3 linked regions of the Saccharomyces cerevisiae S288C genome follow. The protein of the gene in region 3 interacts with the protein of the main gene of each other region in a biochemical or structural test. Each region holds a gene or a part of one and is shown on either strand. Other genes may lie near its edges.

Region 1 (4,079 bases), on a different chromosome or scaffold from region 3:
ATTATTTATCAGATTAGAGATGATTACTTGAATTTGAAAGATTTCCAAATGTCCAGCGAAAAAGGCTTTGCTGAGGACATTACAGAGGGGAAGTTATCTTTTCCCATCGTCCACGCCCTTAACTTCACTAAAACGAAAGGTCAAACTGAGCAACACAATGAAATTCTAAGAATTCTCCTGTTGAGGACAAGTGATAAAGATATAAAACTAAAGCTGATTCAAATACTGGAATTCGACACCAATTCATTGGCCTACACCAAAAATTTTATTAATCAATTAGTGAATATGATAAAAAATGATAATGAAAATAAGTATTTACCTGATTTGGCTTCGCATTCCGACACCGCCACCAATTTACATGACGAATTGTTATATATAATAGACCACTTATCCGAATTGTGAAATAAATTGATCAATCAAATTAGTGGAGGAAGATAGTCAGAAATAAAGCCTTCTCTCCTCCTCTTTCGCATCTATACATACGATTTCATATATACGTTTCATTGCATCATCTTTTGATATATCTCAAAAAGATCTCTTAGTTCGCAAATAGTCAAATCTTCAAATTTATAGCCTTTATATTTTTTCCACGATTTCTGAAACTCCTTTTTATCAGCACCGTTAATGCTAGCGGTTACTGTCAAATCGCCGGTAAATTCGCGATTTCCGTGCTCTAAAGATGCTGAAGATCGTGAAGATGATGAAGTTGATCGTGAGCCATCCCTAGACATCTCTGTTGTATCTCTATTGCTCAATTCCATGGATAATTGAGACGAACTTCGTGGTATGTTTAAGTTGTTGCTACTGTGAAGGTTATTATTGCTAGTATTGTTAGGATGTGGTGGAGTATATGACCTAATTTTTCCGATGATATTTTTTAATGATGAATCAAAAACGGTCCTGAAGCCATCATACGAATTCGATCTTGTAACATCTGGCCTTTGGATAGTAGGAGTCACGATGTCACCTAGGTTACTGCCGTTATTACCGTTGTTTTTATGCATTATAGCAGTTTTTGATGGCAATGAGACTCTACTGCTGATTGAATTTTCTAAAATTTTACTTTCATTTACAGTCAATTTATCTTGTAGCTCATTTGAAAAATCATTTTTGGTTAAGCCTTCAACAAAAACTAATGCAGCTTCTAGATTGGTTAATGCAAAGGATTCTGTTTCGACCAGCTTTTTCTTATATCTGAACAGCCTGATGAATTCGGCATTCAAGAAAATATCCCGTGGAACAATCGTAATAATGTAGTAGATTAGCAACGAAAGATAATCATCATTAGACATTTCTTGGGAATATGTCATGATTTCATGTAGTTTCAGTAGGGCCTTTATCTTTTCACATGGTGAAATCGAATGATAAGTAAACTCATATAAAATATCTTTGATCTCTTCAAACTTTGGTTCCGGATCAATGCCATTATTAAGACTCAGAAACTTTATCAAATTGATTTTATTCATTGTTGAGAGTTTGGACAAACAGAGGATTTTTTCATTCAACAACTTATTGTATTCTGTGAATTCAACACTGTTTCTAAATAGATTTCCAACCTTGAAAGTTTGTAATTGGTGTGGTTTGAAGGTTTTCATTTTATTCGGTGAAGATACGGATGTGCCTACTATAAGAATTTTCTTAAAAACATCTCTTTCACAAAGTTCCATATATTTTTCGATTTTCATGTTGTTTAATTCGTTGATTTTCAATTGCTTTTTTATCTCTTCAGGTGACAACATTTGTGTGGCATTAGTTGAATTTGATATTGACTCATTACTGAAAAGCGATGAAGATCTTCTTGGCCTCATAAGTGAATTTCCACTACTACTCCTACTTCTGCCAAAAATTCCGCTAAGACCACTACTTAACGTTTCTTTGGCAGCCAAGAATGAACTAGAGCCCCCGCCAGAAAAATAATAGCCATTATTATTCGCTGAACTGACGTGCTGGAATGATGCTTTATCAAATTTTATGTAAAAGCTTTGGAAAAGACTAGACAATTGCAGTACTGATAGTGGCCGTACGTACTTTGGCTGCTTTAGGTCATCAATAAAAATGTCAATTAATTTTGATAATTCTGGAGGTAAATTGGTGACAGTGTTCAACGCTTCGTCAATTTCTTGTTTTGTCAATATAGGAGACTTATTGTTTTCTAGCCTTTCTCCTGTTGTAGAGTTTTCATCACCATCACAGCTACTTCTCTCATTGTCATTTTGATCCTCATGTAGATTTTGTTGAAATTGCATGCCGCCAGTTGTGTTCTTGTATGATTCCCTGATGGATTGATTAGGGTCAAACCTTGGATTGGTTATCGGAGGAGTGAATAATTGTCTAGCCATTTGACTTTTATTGTTAGAGGGCGTACTTCTTTTTTATCTGCTCTTCTTCTTGGCTTCTAAAAATACCTTTTGCTCTAAGGGGAATGATGATTTTATGAGTGTCTATAAAGCCAATTCTCTTTCTGCCCAAGATATTAAACACCACACCAATCCGAACAAAATTCAATAGACGAACAACAGTAAGTTTTAATCTATTTTTGCTTCAATGATGCGTTTGGTTGGGTCTTTACTGGAAATCAAATAAGGCTCGGTTATTTGCACACTTTTTTATCCGGGAACCGCTCTTTTACGAAAGCAAATTTCAAAATGTATGTAATACGAAGGCATTAAATTATTCAACAACGGCGCTCGGATATGATTTATATTACACGTCTAGAACGATTAGCAGATAGTAAAACTAGTGGCACGTTTAAATGACTTTTTCATTCCATGAGTTCCCGGTTTGCAAGAAGTAATGGCAATCCCAACCACATTAGGAAAAGAAATCATTCTCCAGACCCAATAGGAATTGATAATTATAAAAGAAAAAGACTAATTATAGATTTAGAGAATTTATCCTTAAATGATAAAGGGCCCAAGAACGGACATGCAGATGATAACAATCTTATTCATAACAATATAGTATTCACAGACGCTATTGATGATAAGGTCCTGAAAGAGATCATCAAGTGTTCCACAAGTAAACGCGGCGACAATGACTTGTTTTATGACAAAATATGGGAACGTTTGAGAGAAAAAAGGCTACAAATAATAAAATGGGTAGATTATAAGGAAATTGCTTATCTAAGCTGGTGGAAGTGGTTCCATAATCAAATGACTTCGAAATACACTTATGATGGAGAGGCTGATACCGATGTTGAAATGATGGCAGTGGATACTGATGTGGATATGGATGCGTAACTTACTATTATTATAATATACCTATGTACAGGGCGGTTATTTATTTACACGTTCGTAGTATAGCATATAAGCATATTTCTGTTCATTCAAGACAGTTGAAGCGGTAGATTCCTTTATGGCGGTATCAGATATTTGCCAATAAGGATACCGCAGGGCGTTTTTGACTTTTTTATATCTGCTTTTTTTGTAATCATTATGTGCAACGTTTTGCTCGCGATTCTTGTTAACTTCATTGTTGACAACTGGTGCTCTTCTGAAGGAAGATTCATCCTCCTTCCCGAAACGAATTTCAGTCTTGCGTCTGTAACACATATAGTGTCCACTCGAATGAGAACCGGTGTGTTTCACAACACTTTTCAAATTATATTTGACTTGCCTGTTTTCTGTTATTGTCCCACTCTCAGCCAATGTATATTCAGAAAGTGTTATTCTTTCTCCAAATTTGACATTGCAGGGATTTCTAGAATATGTAATACCATTGAATGTGGATCTCGATAAGTGAACAATTAATATGTCTGGCAGTTGTACTACTACATCTTTTTTGATGACCTTTCCCTTTATATTAGATACCTGCAAATTGCCCTTTGAGTAACGCTTGACGTACTGTTCTACTTCGAATGGTAAATTTTCGTTAATTGGGGCTTTAGTGGCATAATTTTTCAATCTGTCCAACATTAAAATTTCATCCGGGGTACAGTCCTTGAAATTTCTATATTCTTCATGGTTTAAGATTGCTCTTATTTGGCAGATCAGGCATGAATAGTCGTCTATGATTTCTGTTTCATCGTGTGCTAGAATATTGGATAGATTCTCTGATGTTTGTTGTGGTACGGACAGTTC
Region 2 (5,439 bases), on a different chromosome or scaffold from region 3:
AAAACTGGTGAAGTATGGACAAAAGAAAGTAACACACAGGCACAGTTAAATTTGGTGTTATGTATTTTGCCACGCCTTTTTTGATAATCATATCACTAAATTTGTTAAAAGGCAAATTTTAAAACAAGTTCCTTTACCAAGGAAGGTCCATAGGCGGGTAACCTCAGTAGTAATGAAAGCCTAGTAATGATGACTATAAATGTTCATTAACACATCTGGGTAATAAATGATGATATTTTTAAAAACTGTATAAAACTTTATGGATTTATTTAATCATGATTAGGTGTAGAAAAAAAATTTGGCGATATGATGGCTTGAAAAAGACACGTCTTCCCAGTAATGAAAATGCCCAAATTCTTCATTAGCTCGCTCATATTCTATTAGGATTTGAACCATAAAACCGTTGGGGGTAAATGAGATAGTTTTGAATGGATGCAGGTATGAGAAGAAAACGGCGTGGTCTCCCAATGATGACGGAAATAAAAGAAAACATGGGGACGTCAGTTTGCAGAGTGTAAAGTCAGAGTTTCAAAAACGGTGTTATCGTCGTTATAGTTCGTGTTGTTATTATTGTTGTTGTTGTTCGTATGAGGTTGTGAGGAGCCAACATTGTTTACTAATTCCATAGTAGTGTTGTTATGGTTAGTTAGGCTCAGTTGTGGCAACGATAAACGGGTTCCGTTATTAAAGTTTAGCATATCAAACTGGGAACTTAAGTCATCGTTGTTCATAGCATATCCATTACTGGCGTTGCCTGAAAAGCCGCTGACAGGGAAGACGCCAGGATAACTAAAATAGCCCATTGAAGAATTAGAATTGGCATTCAATGGTTGGCCCGGGGATAATGTAGAGGCAGAAGAACCATTTGTAGTCGTGGTGTTCATTGTGGTATGTTTAGATCCACCACTTTTAACGCTAGAAACAGAAAGACCTCTCATGTGTTGTCCAGAAGTATCAGGAGTGGCGAACATGTGCGAAATGCTGCTGTTATGATGCTGCTGCTGTTGTTGTTTTGTCTTGTTATGAGTACTAGAGGGTGATGCCAACCCGACTTCTTCCAATAAACGGCGGCTTGGTTGGATTTGAGTAGAATCCGTCAATACTTTTCTGACTTGTTTAATGATGTGGGCTCTTAAGTCATCTTCTAATAATGGCATTGCTAAAACTTTATGGACAAAGGTTGGGCCATAATTTGTTTCACATAAAAGCTTTGTTAATTCCTTTGGTGGCGAAGAATCGTGTGCGTTCACGTTTCCAAATAGGGAATCTAGGATGATTTTTCTAGCGTTATCATCCCCTCTGTAATTCAAGACCTTCAAAATAGTCAAAGAAGCCAATCTGTGGCCACATAACTCTACAATTCTTTTCGTCAATCTTGGTGCCAAGATAGAATGTCTGTTGGGTAAAACACTAGTATCTAAAAACCACGTTACTAACAACGCACCATTGCTATTAGTGCTTAGATATTCAGCATATGTAACGATCATTGCACTCAAAACTATTGATTGTTCAGGAGTTACAATGTCATGTGCCTCTAAACAAGCTCTGACTGCCCTTGCACCATATCTATTCTGAACAATAACCCAAAAATTAGCTATTATACTTTCAAAAATAAACTGGTTCCAGGGGAATCCAAATTTCAAAACGCACTGTATGACATAATTTCCGAATTGGTCATTGATTAATGGAGTACAGTAGTCCTTGACCCCTTGCGTCACTTGCATGATTTGTCTCGGAGTATGCGCCATAGTGATCATCTTCTGACAAGCCCATGTTCCGTTTTTGTGAACACCCATAGAGGTTAGGTATTTGCTTGTTTTCCTCAGCATGATGTCTTTAATAATATCAGATGAATGTTCAAATAATTTTTGAACGATAGTGTTACCCAAGTAATCTGAACTCAATTCGGGCAATTCGTCAAGCATTGCAATAGCCAACTGTTCGATCTCTAAGTCGGAAAATGCGTTTGAATCGATTGATTTTCGCAATTCGCGTAATTTTGGTGGATCGAACTCCCTGCCAGACAATGGTTCTGGTAAAGGTCCAAAGTTTTGCGTATCGGAAGTGCCTTTGTGATTCAGCGATTTTTTTATCAACGAATTGATTTGGTATTCATCGGAATTTGCTTCAAAAAGTTCGATGATCTCTCTTAACAAATCTTCCTTTTCGTTAACGTTAGGTGGTGGTAGAGGGAAAGGACATTGTTCTTTTTCATTTGCTGAGTTATTGTTGTTTCCGTGCATACTATTGTTATTATTATAACCATGGAGAACATTGCTAAAACCAGCAGAACCCGAACTATGGTTTTGGTGCTGCGATTGTTGTGATTGCTGGTTAAATACAGGTATAGAAACATTTCCTTGTTGTTGGAAAGTCACAGCTCCATTGAATAACTGCTCCTGTAATAAAGGCTGTGGTTGCAAATTGTTGTTTTCTAAACCCAATGGCAAGCCTTGAGAATTGAGAAGAAATTGTGGGGGTTGTTGATGCATAGGTAAGATTTTGGCAAATGAAATTTTACTTGGTGCTCCAATCATAGATACCTCCTTGCCCTGTAAACTATCTAAGGCTTTTACGGCACTTTCCACGGAAGAAAATTCAACTAAAGCCATGTTTAAATTCCTTAAAGTCCTAGCAGATATGACTTCACCATATTTGGAGCATAGGGTTGCCAAGGAAGTACTTGTTAAGTTTATCGCGTTATTTAATTGTGGCTGCTGGTGCTGTAGGGGAAAAACGTTGGAAATAGAAATGGTATTTGTGGGTAAAAGGTTCGATATTTGGTTTATTGATGGTACAGTGGGGTCCATTGTTACCCAATTGATGGATTGCGGATCTATTTCATCAGCAATCAATGGAGATTCCTGTGTTGGAATAGTATAGTGCGATGAAATACTGGCACGAGCGGGCTGTTCGTACAGTGGAGCGTCGGTATATATGCTAGACGCGTTGGATTGAGATCTCTGTCTGGTATTTGACCAAACAGAGTTTGGGATAGCCAAGTTATTCGTATTCATCTTATTATCTGCCATTTGGCTTCCACTAGTAGATACCATGTTGTCAAAATATGCAGTTTTTGTCGAATAATCGTTGAGCGTGTTTGAATTAGTTGTATTATTGCTTGTCGTAGGTTGCAATTGTTGCAAAAGGTGCTGTTGCATGGGATCGTTCGCACTAGCATTTGAAGACCATATTCCGCTCGAAGTACGAGGCTTGGGGGCGATTGATGAAATGGAAGTTATCTGAGAAGACATTGTGTTGTTTCTCGTCCTCGAGATCTGATGTGGCAAGTTAAACGAGTCGCTAGATCCTCGGGGGGCAGGAATTAAGAAGTTATTACTCGAGTCAGGAAAATGCACCAATTTTTCCATGTCTTGAGGAGGGGTTAAACTGCCAGGTCTATCCATAGTTACACCGTCTATAGAACTTTCCATCATCTTACTCCTGGAAGGGCTGGCCCTTGGTGTCTTGGACGCCACCGTAGATTGGGAACTGTTGTTGCTAGAGGAAAACTCAGCACCGTTCTTTCCGTGACTATTTTTCTTCGAATGGTGTAACTTGGCACTGATGGAGGGCAAAAGGTTACTCAATGTATTAGAAAATTTTCCTGCTCGCGACCTATATGATCCAAGCTTTTGGGGTTGTTGCTGCAGTTGGCTATTACTCTCTCCATTGTTCTCGTATTCTTCCTCGTATATTGGGATAGTGATGCCAGGGTCAATCACCTCGGGGATGTTGGACAAGTTGTTGATGTTCATCTGCTTACTTTTATCCATCTTAAGAAGGAATAAATAGACGTTCACGCTCTTTCTCACACATACACACAAATCTCTCGAAGTGCCTCTTATTGTTTTAACTATTCATCTCTATGCGCCATTGGTCATCCTACGAGAAACGCCCCCCTTTGTCCCAATAATTGTCGGCGGGTAATTTGTCCAAATGAAAAAGAGACATTGTCGCGAGGAACGAATAGATGACCCGATTTGGAAAAAGGTAAACAACAATGAAATATTCCTCGAGAAAACAATAATGTTTATTTATGCAAAGGAAACACTTAGAAGGGAACATCTCCATTCACTAAACTTCGTTGGTTTGGTGTATATTTCTTTGATTCAGTCTGTGCAAGAAGAATTTTTTAGTTCATTAAATTATATAAAAACAAAAGTACAGAAGCATGCACGACGCAGAGAGTACCGTAGATTCTCTACTGAAGGAGATAGACAATGAAATGGAACAAACAAAGTCTAATATCACGCAAAATGGTTCCGAAGATACACCACACAACTGGAAGCTTCCGCTGCAGGAAATAGGCGATGATACCATGGAAATGTTGGTCAAACACAATACTAGGTCGAATGCTACAGAAAATAGTAGAGGTCGATCACCTTCTAAGATGTCTACCATCTCAAATGAAAGCCTTAATTTGGGTCTCTTACGTGTAAATTCGGAACTTGAAGAGTCTCCAGCCGCTGTGCATCAGGAACGGATTAAAAACTCTGTTGCCAACGGGGCACTTGGTCATGCCAATTCTCCCAAAGTGCTTAATAATCTGAAAAATATGGCACAAGATATAGATAAACTAGCCCGTGATGAGGAAAAGCCCGTAAAACTTAGCAGCTCTCCCCTTAAATTTACTTTGAAATCGACTCAACCACTGCTGTCGTATCCAGAATCGCCCATCCACAGAAGTTCTATTGAAATTGAAACGAATTACGATGACGAAGATGAAGAGGAAGAAGATGCATACACATGTTTAACACAGTCACCTCAAATATTACACTCTCCATCAAGGATTCCAATAACTAACGCAGTGTCGATTAATAAGCTCAATCTTGATTTCACATTGAATCCCAACGAATCAGACAAAAGTCTAGTATCTGACACCTCAGTTGATAGCACAGGACGAGAACTAGATACGAAAACAATCCCAGAATTACCATTTTGTATGTCATCAACGCCCGAAATGACGCCAGTCGATGAGAAATGTAACCTTCCAAGTAAATTGTTGAACACTAGTAACAATTCACATTCTGATTCAAGATCGCCAACAGCCTCTGTGGAGGATTTAAACATTTCAACGAATCTGCCGGGTGCTGATTCCAGCCAAAATAATCCAGTCACTACTGATGCGGATGCGCTTATTGAAAACGATGTTGTGCGGGACCTTCAACAGAATATGGAACATATCGATGATGCTTTTGATGAGAAAAAAGTTCTTGACGAAGGTTGCAGCAATGAGCCCGTTACCTTTTTGGGTGAAAATGACACTAGGTCCATAGTATACTCTAATAAAGGGACCAATGCTAATGTTCAAGAATTTTCACAGGAAGATTCTCTAGCGCACAGTGAACCCAAATTCAAAGATCTTAATGCTACATCGGATGACGTATGGAATGAAGACAAAGAAACAGACGCAAATATTTCAACATCTACAAAGTC
Region 3 (4,416 bases):
TTTTTTTTTGATCTATAGGAGCTACAAAGTCCTGGGGTGGTCGTTTACTTGTATTCTCAAAAGCCATCATCTTGTCAGCTGTTGTCTTGCACAAAAGTTATTTCTTTACCAGACAATGTATCCGTTCGTGGTTAAGGTAAGAATTTTAACAATGGGGTCTTGGGTTAATTTAAAGTCGAACGCTGATTAAAACAACCTTTATATTTTTAAAAGGAGAAGCTACTGCAAACGAGAGATGCTCATCAAAATATCTTTTATACAAGGAGAAAATTTTCAACACCTTTTTTTTTTTTTATTTTCTGCCGCCCCATCGACACGGATCTCGGAAGGGTAAGAGAGGAAATCCTTTATCTAATCAGAATAAGCTGAGGCAATACGCTATGACCATGAGACACAAGCCACACATGTGTGAAGTATTGCCCACGTTCGAAATATAAATCCTAGAACTTAAATTGCGCCATTGGTACAGTTGCTTCATCTTGAACACAGTAAGTAACGGAAAAGAAAACCTTTCTTTTTATATAAAGTATGTCATGAGTAAACTAGTTGATAATGTATTCACTAAGTCTATCTAATGCTTCTACCTTGCACCATTGAGCTACCTAGCTGTTCATTTCCAACGTATGTCCAGCCACCAAATTGCTTTTGAACACTTTCACTCAAGTATTCATCTACCACACTATCAATTGGCTTCTCCCTAGTGAATTCCTCATCGAAATTACTAGTATCCATGGAATTACTAACAGCTGGTTTATATGGTGGAATATAACCCTTCATCAACAGGCGCTTCCATGATAATTGGCTGAAAAAAGGATGGTTCCGAATTTCGTCGGCACCATTGTAGCCCAATCTTCTTGTCGGATCACGGCTCAATAATCCAATCAATAGATCCTTTGCATCTCTATCAAATCCATCTGGGAAAACTAGTGGCTCCTGTAGAATCTTCTTATACATTTTTGGAACATCTTCATCATAATAAGGAGGAAGACCTGTGAGCATCTCGTATAACAAGACTCCCAATGTCCACCAATCTACTGCCTTTGTATAGCCTAAACCTAGCAATAGTTCTGGTGCCAAGTATTCTGGGGTCCCACAAAAAGTATCTGTCTTATCATCATCCTTCATATTCAATTTGCATAGCCCGAAATCACAAAGGGCAATGTGGCCTTGATAATCCAATAAAATATTCTCTGGTTTCAAATCACGATAGACAACATCTAGTTTATGCAAGTTGTCTAGCGCACATAACAATTCTGCGGTATAAAATCTGGCACGTGATAAATCAAACCTTCCTTCCTTTTGTAGATGATAAAACAACTCACCACCATTGATAAACGCTAAAACAAAGTATAATTTTTCCGGTGATTGGAAAGAAAACTTCAAAGGTACAATAAATGGACAATCAACACGTGCTAGAACGGTTCTTTCTGCCAAAGTATGCGTGACTTCGGATTTAGAGACAATGTATGATTTTCTGATTGCCTTCAAAGCGTATACTTTTTGTGTATCTTTCTTTCTGACTTGCATCACTTTACCAAACGAACCCTTACCGATAACTTTCAAAAGATCGAAATCATCGATGGACAAAGGTTTATTTCTGGAAGGTTTATAATCAATACTAATATTGATCTTACCCAAGCCATTATCCAATGTGATCCAGTGGTGATTATATAGTCTAATACTAGCTGCAGAGTCAAAACTTAAGTTGATGGGCAAATGGAAAGAATCTAAATGTATATCTTGATTGGAATTTATTTTATCAAAAATGGTCTGTAGCTTCTCGTCTTGCAAACCCATCTCCTGTTGCCATGTCTTCGAGGGCAAAAGAATGGACGGAATTCTTGCAAATACATCAATCTTTAAATAAGGTAATTTCCTTGTCACATCAAAGGTAGATATCTTATTGAAACCAGGTTTAGCGATCGTACCATACTCTGCTTCAATAGTTGCAACTGTATTATCAAATTCAATGGTGAAATATAGTAAGGGATTTAAGGTCGAAGACCCTGGTAACATGATAGTAGATGGGATGAACTTTGCTGCTGACTCGCTAGAGATCAAATCTTCATCAGCTGGACCTTGGTTCTTTATTTGAACACGGGACAGTTGTGCAATTAAAGCATCTACTTCTTTACTAATCTCCTTATGTGGCGGTGGAACACCCGAGGCCAATAGTTTATTCAATATTTGCTCGCTTGAGGTAATCGGAAAAGGTAAAATAAAGTCATCACCATTATATACTTTGATAGTCATCATTCCTGAACTTGAGGTGGCATCATTGGGTGTCCCTGTAGAACCAATATTTGCTGTTTCATCTAAATTTTGAGATGAGTTCGTGTTTTCTGAATTACCACCATTTGAATCTCGTACAGTAGAGGTCGATGAGGATGCATCGTATGAAACACGAACCGGGACCACTGATGAATTTGATGGATTTATCGTGCCCTTCCTGTCTAAAGATGAACGAGTAATTGAAGCATCATGTTCCCCCGCAGTTGCTTGATTATTCTGCTGTTCTTCCTTTTTAGAGGAGTGAAAAAACCCACTATGTTTGGCTTCTTTTTCTTCTTTAGATTTTCCAAACTTAAACTTTGACTTCCAAGAATACATTTTCAGGAACTGTATTAATGTTTGTTGATATGAGAGGAACTTTGAAGTGTCAATTTCCCGCTGTATACAAAGAAATTGTAGAGTAATCTATATCAAAGAATATAAAGGCTTTGAAATTTAACCAAACACAAACAAACCAATTCTAAAAAGTATGGGAGCGAAAAATAACTCAACTGTTGTTGGTATGACGATAGTGTTGATTACCGTTGGCTCGTTCGGGATAAGCATTTTTTAAGCCTTCCAATAGGGGCATGTTTTGATCTTGTTTTCCTGTAGCGCGGCTCTGCCGCGAAGAAAGTCGCGAGTAACGAAAAACAAAAACAATGTTGTATTATGAAGCTAATTGATAAGTCAATCAGCAAAAAATAGATATACTACATATATCCTCTACATATAAATTAAGATCAGTTAAAACATCTTTGGAAAATTAGTGCTTGTTCAAGACCAATAATTCTATGTGCGGACTGTTGGTTCGTCTGTTCCTAAAATTTCTTTAAATCTTAAGAATTTTACAATGGAGTTGATGACGGGTTTCAAGAAGACGTCAGCTGTTTGGCCATAGTTCTCCTTTTTATCAGTATACTTTTCTACGTATAATCTTATTGTTGCACCAGAACTGCCTGTGCCGGATAACCTCAAAACAAATTTAGTCCCATTCGAAAACTTTACGAAAAGGCCTTGATTTTCAGAGATGGAGCCATCTAGATCTCTATACGAAAAATCACCACAATCGATAACGGTTAAAGACTCATCAGCTGGGAAGTGGGAGCCACAAACGTTTGGCCTTGATACAAATTCACTCAAAAGAGCTACAACTTTTTCGGCCTGCTCGCATTCGATATGTTCGTAATCGTATCTTGTGAAGAAAGTACGGCCATACTCGTTCCAAAATTCGTCCTGAATAGTTTTGATCGAAGCTTCCTTTTCAGGGTTACGCCTATGGTAGATAGCCAAGATATTTAACCAAGCAATAATGGCCCATAGACCGTCCTTTTCTCTGATATGATTGGAACCTGTACCGAAGGATTCTTCACCACAGATTGATAGCTTTTTAGCATCAAATAAGGCACAGAAGAATTTCCAGCCGGTTGGAACTTCGTAACATCTTAATCCCTTTTTTGCTGCAACACGATCAATGGCTGAGGATGTAGGAAATGAACGTGCCAAGCCATAAATACCTTGTTTGGCGAAGTATGGAATTTCGGGTGCATATTCGGCAATAATGGCAACAGAATCACCTGGCGAAACGAAAGCAGGGCCATAACCGTAAATCATATTCCTATCACCATCACCATCGGAGGCTGCTCCAAAGGCAATTTTTTCGCGGTCAACCCTGTCAACAAGAGTTCGTGCATAGGTTAGATTCGGATCGGGATGTAAACCGCCGAAATCAGGTAAAGGGTGCCAATTTTGAAGAACTTCCTCTGCCGGTAAACCAAATTCATCAACAAATATAGCCTTACCATATGGTCCTGTAATACCATTTAAGGAGTCAAACAACAACTTCCACCCTTTGTCTTTGCGCTGTTTCGCTAAGAAGCTTTTAATTAAGTCAAAATCAAAAATTTCCTTCAGAAATTGAACGTATGCTTTGGCAGGATCAATTATGTCCACTAACAATGGGCCATATTTTTGGTTTTTACCAAGCTTGTTCAAATTCAACTTGGGGAAGTTCTTTATAATTTTATAGTGAGTTAATTTTTTAGACGCTTCCCAGATAGCGTTAGTGACACTCTCTGGAGCTGGCCCACCATTAGGTAAATTATACTTGATACCTAAATCATTCTCTGGACCGCCTGGGTTGTG

Evidence for each region. Proteins that work in one complex are often made in the same cells at the same time.
Region 1: of the proteins of YPK1 (region 3) and MUK1, one has a biochemical effect on the other in vitro, tested with the Saccharomyces cerevisiae proteins (2 studies listed by BioGRID).
Region 2: of the proteins of YPK1 (region 3) and JSN1, one has a biochemical effect on the other in vitro, tested with the Saccharomyces cerevisiae proteins (one study listed by BioGRID).

What each region holds. Positions count from the first base shown.
Region 1 is NC_001148.4:419,208-423,286, reverse strand, and holds MUK1 (guanine nucleotide exchange factor MUK1), read right to left. Parts: upstream 2,340-4,079; coding exon 501-2,339; downstream 1-500. Other genes in the region: BTS1 (farnesyltranstransferase), read left to right, coding at 1-402; YPL071C (uncharacterized protein), read left to right, coding at 2,769-3,239; putative ubiquitin-specific protease UBP16, read right to left, coding at 3,276-4,079. UniProt on the Saccharomyces cerevisiae protein: Putative GTPase-activating protein.
Region 2 is NC_001142.9:594,561-599,999, forward strand, and holds JSN1 (Jsn1p), read right to left. Parts: upstream 3,777-5,439; coding exon 501-3,776; downstream 1-500. Other genes in the region: BUD4 (Bud4p), read left to right, coding at 4,175-5,439.
Region 3 is NC_001143.9:203,901-208,316, reverse strand, and holds YPK1 (serine/threonine protein kinase YPK1), read right to left. Parts: upstream 2,611-4,416; coding exon 568-2,610; downstream 1-567. Other genes in the region: RRN3 (rDNA-binding RNA polymerase I transcriptional factor), read right to left, coding at 1-70; phosphoglucomutase PGM1, read right to left, coding at 3,064-4,416. UniProt on the Saccharomyces cerevisiae protein: Plays an essential role in the proliferation of yeast cells. Involved in a signaling pathway, required for optimal cell wall integrity, that acts in parallel with the PKC1-SLT2-dependent pathway.